Linked DNA regions of Arabidopsis thaliana. The protein of the gene in region 2 interacts with the protein of the main gene of each other region in a pairwise test. Each region holds a gene or a part of one and is shown on either strand. Other genes may lie near its edges.

Region 1 (3,763 bases), on a different chromosome or scaffold from region 2:
CTGATGATGATCATCATCATGTGCAGATGATCGAATCGATGAAGGGAATAGGTCTTTGATCGTGTTCACATGTGTTGTAATGGTCTCTCTAGGCATCTCCAGATTGATGTCTGAACTATTCTCTGTGCTTCCGTTGTTGCTCCATGAAGCTTCTGCTTCTCTCTTTACTATGTTTCCTTCATTACATTCTTTGTTCTTTAAAGCCATTACCTTTAACCATCATCACACACAATTCAAATGTTAAGTTTTAGAAATTCAGATATTAAAAATTATCATTTCTATATATCATTAAAATAAACATAATTATATATAATTTAAATTAACAAAATATTTTTAAAATGACTAATAACTTAAAATAGATAAACTGTAAGACTATATATGTAAATTATATATTTACATATACTTAGCTTAAGTAATTTTTGAAAATCTTGTAACTATTACATTTCAATAAGTAGTAAAATCATTTAAAACACACAAAAATGATATGATATAAAAATCAGTATTCTTGTCAAATTTGGTTAGCGCACACATGCCATTACTTGATAGTCATATGGGAATGTATTAATTAAATTGTAAATATTGATCAAGAATCCTTTTTATTAATAAACAAAACACCTACTGTCTTTTGACAAACATCTTATAGTGTTGGATCATGTGCCTAACAATAATCTATTGCATTTCGTATTAAACGACTTTAATACACACAAGATACATACATATATATATATATATACACTGATATATATACACATATATATATACTACATAAATAGTACCAATCCAAGCCAATAATCAGAAAAATATTTGTAGTCCTAGATTTATTTTACGTTGGTTATTACTATTAGTGCAAAACCAAAAATAAAAAAACCAAAGAAAAAAACAAACACAATCAAATTAGAAATGAAAGTTGAATTAAACACCTTATTTACTATATAAACACACATATATACTTACTTATATAGATACATACCTCAGCAAGGAGTTTCTTGTTATAGGCAAGTAGAGAAGCATTGTCGGATTTAAGAGACTCAAACTGTTTCTTGAGTGAATCATAATCTCTCTCGAGCTGTCTAGTCTTCCACCTAGCTCTCCTGTTTTGAAACCAAATCGCGATCTGTCTTGGTTGCATCCCTAATGCTTTAGCTAGTTGTATCTTCCTCTCTGGCTCCAGCTTGTTACCAAGCTCAAAGCTCTTCTCTAATGCCTTAACTTGCTCTAATTGCAGCCTCTTCTTCTTCTCTCCCAGCATAGTATGTGCCCCATCGTCTGATAGATTCTCCTCATCCAAGGTTTGATTATGATCTTCTTGCACGTTCATTAAAGACATAGATCTGTTCATCATGTAGTTTCCTCCTCCTATATACACCAACAGAATTCATGACTCAAATCTATTTATGTGGAGAAATAGTGAGAGAAAGAGAGAGTATAGTACCATTGAAGAGATGAGGAGGACAAGAAGGGAGCTGATCTTGACTGTTGTCTTCATGAAGTTGTTGGAACATAAAACCATGTTGAGGAAACGCCATCTCTAATCTCAATCCAGCTTCTGTTGTTGGATCAAACACATACATGTATGTATTCCACCAAAAACCTATCAGTGATTAATGGATTGTGAAATCAGTATAGTGATGATCAAATATACTTTGTTGTTTGCAGATTTGGAAATCACTATCAAATGAGTTAGGTGTTTCTTGTGGATCTCATCAACCTCTCATATAAGAGAAAGAGAGAGAAAGAATGAGGAAAGGATCAAGCTAGGGAGGTTTCTAGGACCCATCCTTAATATTTTAAAAGCTTTAGGCTTATTATTATATTTCATATATATTCTCCAGTTCATGTAATAAAGTTATTTTATAGTTTCTGCCTCAAATATTTTCGATCATGTAACGTTACTAATCATATCTTCATGATGGTTTTTTTTTTCTTTTTCTTTTCACAACACCTTTTATGCTTTAAAACCTCACATATCATTTATTTATGTTTTCCAAGGAAGCCCAAAGACTTTTTACATCAATTGCTTCCTCCTCCACCGATATGGGCCGCTGCTTTTGCAGCCCGGCCCAAAGCATCTGAGAACCATAAAGCCCCATTAGCAAAGTAACGACTGTTGACCACACTAGTCGCTGCAGCTGCAGCCACTTTCCCTGTAATGGTGGCTGCGGCTACAGCAGCTGTGCCCGTGACAAGAACCGCGGATTTAGTGAAATCCGAGAAATGATACTTCTCGTCCGCTGATCTCACGAGTTCCATACTCGACTGAATGTTCTGTGTGAGGCCAAGGTAATGGCTGATCTCTGCCAATTTGGTCGCTACCAAGCTTGAAAATCTCTGAGACTCATCCAAAGCTTTGGCTTTACCAATCGCGTCTTTGCTTAAAACGTAGCCTTTAGCTAACATCGTCTGCACAACTTGTTGAGCCACGGTTATGGCCTCTCCAGGCGATGAAGCAAACGCGTCTGAACGAGTCACCTACAAAGAAACATTTTCGAGAATCTTTGGCTTATAACCTAAAGTAACCTAGTAAGTATTGTTTTTAATGTTACCGTAACACTATAGTCTTCTTCTTGTCTGAGATTGTTAGATTCATGTAAATAGACACCGTAGACCGATATCCAAACGGTTTGATCAACGATCGTAGCTCCCTGAAGATCAACATTAAAATCAATGCCAAGAAGATCATACTGGAAATTTCTAGCTAATTAAGGGACTTACGCTAAGTAACACAGCCATATCCAGAGCATACGCATCTCTGAAGGTTACATAAGCCGTTAATGCATCCCCTTGGCACCTGAAATCCATGGAGACATGAAACAAAATATAAACAGATTCAAGAATGATTAATAATTTACTGAACAATGAACGTTGTTGTTACCCGGTGATTTCAACGAGCTCGACGATACCACAGTGAGAGAAGAACCTATGAACATCTTTCTCAGTGGCTTGAGGAGACAAGTTGGTGACTTGAGCAACGTAACCACAAGGATACATTATATTGTTCTGTTTTCTCACACGAACCTAGATACCTAAATCAAAGAACAAACATAAACAAGATTCTTGAATCACATTCCGTGAACCGTTGAGCGATTTTCTAGAGATTTATACAGCAAGAAATCTACAAAGCTACGATTACTATAATGATTCAAATAAAAAAAATAAAAAAGGTGTCCAGGCCAAATAGTTAGCGGAGAGGGAAGAAAGAAGAAGTAAGAACCCTAGATTATAATTGAATGAGATAAGAGATGAAAGTAACAGTAACAAAGATAATCAATGAGATATGTATCAACCAACCACACAATCGGAAACTTCGAGAAGCAGGGCACGAAAAAAAACTGATAGTGTATGTTCTGTTTTAGATTACCCGATTAAGGCACAATAGAACAGGACGTCACAGGATTGAAGCCAAGTATCGAAAGAGACGGAGAGAAAAGAAGACAAGATTCGTGTGATTGTGAGAGAGAAAGAGGATTCTTCAAATTTAAACAAAAAAAGAAAGAAGAGGAATGTTAACATTTAAACCAAAAAAGAAAGAAGAGGAATGTTCACATAATTTTTTTTCTTTTGTCGGCTCGATCGATATCGATGTTGTGGTCGACGATACGCGTCAAACGTAAGCTCTAGCGATGCGCGTGTTATTATTGTTTCCACGAGTCTTTTGGGCACTTTTTACTTAGGCTTTTTAAAGCCCAAATATCTGTTTTCAAGCCCAAGTAATTAGTGAGGACATTTTCGTCAATTTTTCATCGGAACGCAATTTAGCGGTTAA
Region 2 (3,353 bases):
AATATAATTCAGATGACAAAAAGATGTTAGATTTATGGAATTATCGTCTGACATCGAGACTACAGTTATAATGGCATTTATGTATTTACGCTATAATAATAATATTAAAAAATTTTACAAGTCTACTCGTTTTATTGTAAACACCCAATTGTTACTTTGAAAACTTAAAATAAAAAGTCAAAATTGTAATTTACTTCTAGGTCATCATCTTTCACGAAAACCCTAATCGCCGTCAGCTTTTCTGAAAGGCTCTTCTTTTTGGTACTCTGTTTTTTTTTTCCTATAATTTAATCACTTATCTTAACCATGAATTCTACAAATTTATGATAAATTTACAGATTTCTAACCAAAAAGTAAAATTCTAGGTGATTTCCCAATCCGACTTATTTCTTTATGGTCGAATAAAAGTTATACACTAACAGAAATATAGTTTTCTCCATGGTTGTACATAGCTTTGGTGACTTAAACAGTTTTAAATTATCAATGAAGATAATGAAATACACAAAAAGTTGTTTTACAAAGTACTAATAAAACTGAACATGAAAGAAATAAAGTCAAATCTTAAAGAGATGCTTCTTCACCAAATACATGATGCTGGGAGTTTCATAATCACTTGATCGTCTCTATTGCCTCAACTTTCTTCTGCAACTTTGTCCTCCAGTTTGATCTTTGTTGATCTTATGAGATTTACCATGGAATTCTTGATGATGTAATTTAAGCCTTTTCTTAGTCTCATTCTTAGAATGAATTAACTCTGTATGTACAACCAACATTTGTGAAGTATCAAACAAACTATTGCACTTTAGACATATAAATGAACTGTCTTTCTCAAACGGCAGGCTATATATCCAACCACCGTCTTTTTCATAATCGATTTCGTCATGAATTTCTTCAAGGACCTCTGTTGGTTTACAGATATATTTCACCGACCGACCATTTTTATGAACATATTGCTCATGATAGTGTTTTGGGGAGGATGAAAATATATCCAAATGCTGACGACATGCATAGTCTTGTTGCGAACAAAAGAAATCGATGGGTTTAGGTGTGAAGGTTTCATACTGTTTATCAAAATCATTTGGGGGGTTAACTGTAGATTTCAAAATTGGTGGATAAGAAGTCATGAAACGGTTGACACGATCATTATCATTTTGGACAATGACCATATTGCTTGTCGGAATAAGAGCATGATACCTTTTTGCGATGGTTTGAGTGATAAAAACTTGAGAATAGTTAACAAAACCACTAGTTTGAGCTATGAAAGGCATACTGAAAGGAGAAACCATGTTGGTTCTCAATGAAGATGAAGAAACTTTTGAAACATGGGAACTAGTAAAAAAAGAAGATGGATATAAATTAGCATGGTTTTTGTTGTTAGAAGTAACGAACATTGATGAAACCATTTTAGACTGGTGATTTATCGAACTTGAGTTTATTTGGATGGGAAAATCACTGTGATTCATAGTACAAGGGAGCGTGTGTTTTAAATACTTTGCATATCTATCTATTTATATTAGATTATTATTTATTAGTATACCTTAATAAAAGGGTAAATTGGTTTTTATATTAAATAAAAAAGACTAAAGTGGAAATTTTTAAAAGAAAGAAACTAATTTATACATATAAGGAAATGAATATTTTTGTGGACTGATATCTAATTTTAATATCTATTACTATAAAAAAAATCTTCAAATTTGTAATTTTCTATATTTTTATTTGGAAAACCTCTATTTGTTTTGGTAGTATTTGGCTGTTATTTCAAAATTAGTTTATCACTTTATTGTTTTTACTTATTTGGGATGTGTAAGTTGAGAATCATTTATTATATCGTTTATCCCATTGATTTCCATTTAAAGTGCAACTCTCACAAAAAATAAAAATAAAATAAAATTCTAAAAATTTAGTTCAACAGATTTTTATGTTTCAGTCAAAAGTTATGGTAACAGAGGTCCACTTAATAAATTTCATTTAATTCATATCTTAAATTTTGGATTTATATGTTATATTTTTTACTTCTAATCTTCAATATGTAGATATCTAATATACGATGAAAAAAATGTATACTTTGAATATAATAAAGAAGAATATAATATGATTTTTGTTCGACGATACAAAAAGTTTAGATATAATTAGTTTAATAATTAAAATATTACAAAAAGTTCTTTTATTTTTTTAGCAAAAAAAAATAGAATTTCCATTGAAAAACCAATATGTTGAGTACATGATATAATCTTGTGATCATAGATATTACTTAAAAGAACTATCACAATTAGAAATTAACTTAAGAAAACAATGAACAAATAGTTAAATGACTTTTAAAAAATGTACACAATAGAATAATAAGAGAGTGATTACATAAAATAAAAAATTAAAGTACAAAATACAATACACCGGTCAATGTAAAAAAATATCTCATAACATGAATCGGAAAAACAAAATTTCCAGAAAGAAAGGAAAAAATATGTAAAAAAAGCAAGAAAGATATATATTTTTTTAAGTAAAGTAATAATTTTATTAATAAAAAAACAAATATTAATATTTCTCAAAACAAAATAATAAATTGTATAACAATTTTCATGTTATCCCTTTTTAATAAGATTTTATTTTTTTACATATCTTTTTAATTAGATAACATGACCATTGGATTAGCGATTAGCGTGTAGGTGACATCGACGGCCCAGAATGCTCGGCATATTTACCAAAACATCCTTCGAATTTTAAACCCCTAGCTTTTTTTCCTTTTTTCTTCAATCTCCCTCGCCTTTACGAATTCGAAACTCAAAAACTCAAAATCATGGCGGCAACAAGCGACGAGCAGATGAATTTGCTTCTCTCCAGTTTCGATCAAATCTACGAGGTGATTCTCTCTTCCTATCTCTTCTTCTTCTTCTTCGCTTGCTGCTTCCACTATTCTGGTTTCGTTTTTCGATAGGAGAAACCTAAATCTAATTCGATTACGATTATCTCGTCATCTGAAATCAAATCGATTCGCTCTCCTTCTCTAATCGAACCGAATGAATTGAGAAATCTGGAAATTTTGATCAGCTCATGTTGTATTTCTCTCACCGGTAGTTTCAGAGATGATCTGGTATTCAGAAATTTCTAGGCTACTGGTACTGCAAATCCGTACAGATTTCGAATTGATTACTCATAAGTTTTTGAAGGATTAGTACTGCTTAATTGAAGGATTAGATCGCTAGAATAATCGGAACATTCATAGTTCATTTTTGTTTCTCTCAGGATTTTAAAATCGGGTTGAATGAGATCAATGTTTACAGATCAAAGAGCAATGTTGAATCAAGCAGGAGAGAGGTTCTTGAGATTAGTAACAAAAATCTCAAAGAAGGTTTGTT
Region 3 (3,763 bases), on a different chromosome or scaffold from region 2:
TGAATATGTTAGTACATGAATACTCCAATCCGATCTTTAATTAGCAATGAAATATATTTGTGGACCTTCTTGTAAGAAAAAACTAATGGAGAAAAAAACTTGTAGCAACCTTGGAGCTTGATGTGTCTATCTCAAAGGATTCCTTAGACCCAAATATGATGTGACAGAACATTAATTCTCGTTCACATACTCATATATATCAGATGAAATTCTATTTATGTTTGAAGATAAGATTGAAAAGAAAAATTCAATGTTACTTTTTAGTGATAAGAGTGATTGATATGATACATTGAGCCTGTTTTTTTTTTTTTTTTTGGTCAACGAACCATTTAGTTTTGTATTAAATGTGAAAAAAAAACAGTATTACTAAGAAAAGATATCTTATACATTTGATTTTAAGAAAATAGACATTTATATATGCTCTTGTGTATGAAATTATACAGAAATCATTATTAGTTGATTAATGAAGAAATTTATAGGAAATTGTATGCTTGATTAGAAAATGGTTGCATCAATATATGTGAAGGTGCATGTCACTGTTCCATACAACTACTGTACATGTCAAGTCCTCAAAAGTTTTCCATGCGACACATATATACACATGTTGAATATATAATATAGGTTAGGTGTACATGGACTCTATGTGATGAAGAACAATATGAATCAAATGATAAATTCTTATATGTTAAAATAAGATATAAGAATTTATGCTAACAAACAGTTTAGAACAAAGAAACAACTGTAAAACATTTATAAAATTACCTTAATCCTCTTGTTGAAATTCCTAAGGTTTCGTTTGCTACGATATTTCTCGATCTTTTCTTTCTTCTCCTCAGGACTATACTTGTAGGCTTTGCTCATTCCTTCTATTATTGCATTGCTCTCACTCCACACCGTACTGCTCTCTCTTCTGCTACTCCTCTACACACATACCAAAACAGTGTCGTCTTATGTTATGATAGAATTATTATTATTTTCAAATAAAACCCCAAATTTTAGTATGTTTAGATAATTTATTTGTGTTTTGGTGTTTTCATTTTACACTCTTGCAAAACCATAAAACAAACCAACAATATAATGTTTCGTTTTATAAAATGTGAAAAATTTCATACGTAAACGAAAACATAAAAGTTAACGTTTGAAATCTCGAAACTGCAAGTGTGTATATAATATTACTTACGGGTAGATCTCCGGCGCTAAGGGCCCGTCTCACTGGCCCATCATCATCGTTAACGAAATCATGGGCCGCTGTGTAATTACCGGAAAAGCCATTATGGCTACTAACACTCCTCTGCATAACAAGACTCTCTCCGCCACTCCCCATAGAGCTTGGCGAGTCGCAGCTGCTGCTTCCACCACCACCGTTCATGCCGGAATCAAAGTAACCGAACCCTGAAACCGCCTCGGCCGCGTATAGAGAGTTTTGGCTCATCATAAGAAGCGCCAAAGGCGGAGGCGGGAACTGATGATGATGATGATCAAGCAGCTGAGGAGGAGCCACTATGTCGTCGGAGTATAGAAAACATGGACAGTTGTCGCCGGAGGTTATAGAAGTGCTGACGTGTCCACACATGGTGGGTTTTAGTTTATTGTGGTGTTTATGTGTCTTTGTGTGTTTGTTTATGTGTGTGTGTGTGAGTGAGTGAAACTCGAAGTGGTTTGGTTTCTATTTAACAGAGGAAGGACTGATGCTGACGTCATTAATCGTCATCTGAAGTCAACTGACTTAACCGTTGACTTCTTTTGACTGACTAGGAAAAAAGGAATCTTTAGGTATAAAAAGAGTTGCCTTTCGTTTTCAGGTCGCTTCTATCTCACTCTCACCCGTTATTCTTCAAACGACATATATTACACGAAATTGAATCCGACATGTATTATACGAAGGTGAATTTGGATAGTTGAACAAAAATGATAATTATTTTTTCATTTAGGTTTAAAAATGTTTTCATTAAAAATAGAACTACTACTAAAAACAAAAATTCAAATATACTTACTTATATATAGGTTACTGATTAATATGCTATCAATTATAAATACAGAGGAAGAAAGCTAGTGACAAATAATTACTAATTATAACCAAGTGTTGTTAATTCAATTAGTAAAAACCCTAGACGAAACTTAGAGATCGCCAGTTCGAATGACGTTTAGAACAAAAGTAATATTATATGCTGTAGTTTCGGGTACGGAGGGATTACGGGTTTCAGTCCAAAACCTCTTGGTATTCAAAAAAAAAAATACTAATTATATTGAATTTCAAAAAAATTGTTATTATATTGAATTTTATAATTAGTAAACTCTTTCTTTTTTTTCAATCTCTTTAACACATTTACGTTTCAAACTAAATGGCGTTATAACATTTTTTAATGTATTAAGAATTTCACAACGATAATTGTTGTAAAATGGAAGGCATAATCATTTCTTGAAACAGTAAATTTACTGATATTTTCGTAAGCAATTGTGTTTTAACTTCAAGTCCTTGACGAAAAAAAATATACAATTGTGTTTTAAAATAGTAGATAGATAACATCTCGTGCAACATTCATAAATCATAACAGCAAAAGAACAATGTAAAGAAAAATAAAATAAAATAAAGGACACGACTTAGCTTTTTAGCTCGAATTGTATAGGAGAGACAAAAAGATGGTTAAAAGCATTATTTCACGCAAACCCATGTGAGCAGCATACAAATCTACTTTTTTGCCTAATTAATCATTAACTTAATCAACAGTAATAATTAATTAAGCTCAGATACTTGATTGCTTTGGTTATGTTCACATTAAACGGGTGTTTAGTCCGGTCCGGATAATTAACCAGACAAGACACGATAGTACTGCTCTGTATATGAATTGTATATCTGTTCCAATCCATGATTAGTCAGGTTAATTAGCCAGAATTTTTTGTTTGGAATCAAATCGATTTAGGTAACATATCGAGAGAATATCTCAAACGAGTTATACATAGCTACCCCTACGGTAAAGTATATAAATATTGTTTTTTTTTATAGATATTTTGTTTACGATTAGTTACATTCCAAGAACGAAATTCGAATAGTAGGATCACTGCATATATACCAATATATTGTAGGAACACGTTGTAGTCAGTCACTAAATTGGCCTACTCATCATCATCATCATACATAATACATAATCACTCATTTAAGAACAAAACAACTTATAATTTCCTGTTTAAGCCTCACTCCATAATGAGGATACATAATATCAACCCAACTCGTGGTGTTTGTTTAGTAGAAAAATTAACCCACATATCACATTATTACTACTAGATGATATTGATTATATTTATCTAATTCAGTCCAATCCAAGTTTAAACTAAAATGATTATATATCTATATGTATCCAAAATATTTCATTTGGATGATGGTAACAAACCGAACCAAAAATGAAAAATCAAATTTGTTACATCTAAAACCTAAATTTGAACCAAAATTAACAAAAGTGCACTAACTTAGATAGTCTTCCTCCTGAAATGTGTATACAATCTTCCCTTGTATTAGGGGAAATGATTGTTCTTCTCCATTACATTCTATATATACAATATGGGTCCGTCGATAAATTTATTTGAAGAATTTTTTCTCGTCGATATCACTTCTCTAAGCCAAATATATAATTTTATTTTATTTATGGGGTACGAAAGCATCTTTTTCACTTAAGAGGATCGGAATGTAGGTCCATTAGAATCAACGAAATAAAAATTAGTTATATTTTTTTTCTTTGATTAACACAAACTTTCATTTTTTATGCGC

What was found.
Region 1: the proteins of AT4G26030 (region 2) and HB20 interact in a two-hybrid assay, tested with the Arabidopsis thaliana proteins (one large-scale study listed by BioGRID).
Region 3: the proteins of AT4G26030 (region 2) and AT5G59990 interact in a two-hybrid assay, tested with the Arabidopsis thaliana proteins (one large-scale study listed by BioGRID).

The regions. Positions count from the first base shown.
Region 1 is NC_003074.8:71,407-75,169, reverse strand, and holds the start of HB20 (homeobox protein 20), read right to left. Parts: upstream 1,864-3,763; 5' UTR 1,572-1,863; coding exon 1,433-1,571; intron 1,357-1,432; coding exon 971-1,356; intron 211-970; coding exon 1-210. Other genes in the region: AT3G01210 (RNA-binding (RRM/RBD/RNP motifs) family protein), read right to left, coding at 2,011-2,469, 2,544-2,642, 2,713-2,788, 2,873-2,988. UniProt on the Arabidopsis thaliana protein: Probable transcription factor.
Region 2 is NC_003075.7:13,203,470-13,206,822, reverse strand, and holds AT4G26030 (C2H2-like zinc finger protein), read right to left. Parts: upstream 1,287-3,353; coding exon 624-1,286; 3' UTR 597-623; downstream 1-596. Other genes in the region: AT4G26020 (4/1 protein short form protein), read left to right, coding at 2,795-2,857, 3,241-3,346.
Region 3 is NC_003076.8:24,151,512-24,155,274, forward strand, and holds the start of AT5G59990 (CCT motif family protein), read right to left. Parts: upstream 1,691-3,763; 5' UTR 1,574-1,690; coding exon 1,181-1,573; intron 922-1,180; coding exon 763-921; coding exon of another isoform or gene 751-762; exon of another isoform or gene 340-750; intron 1-339.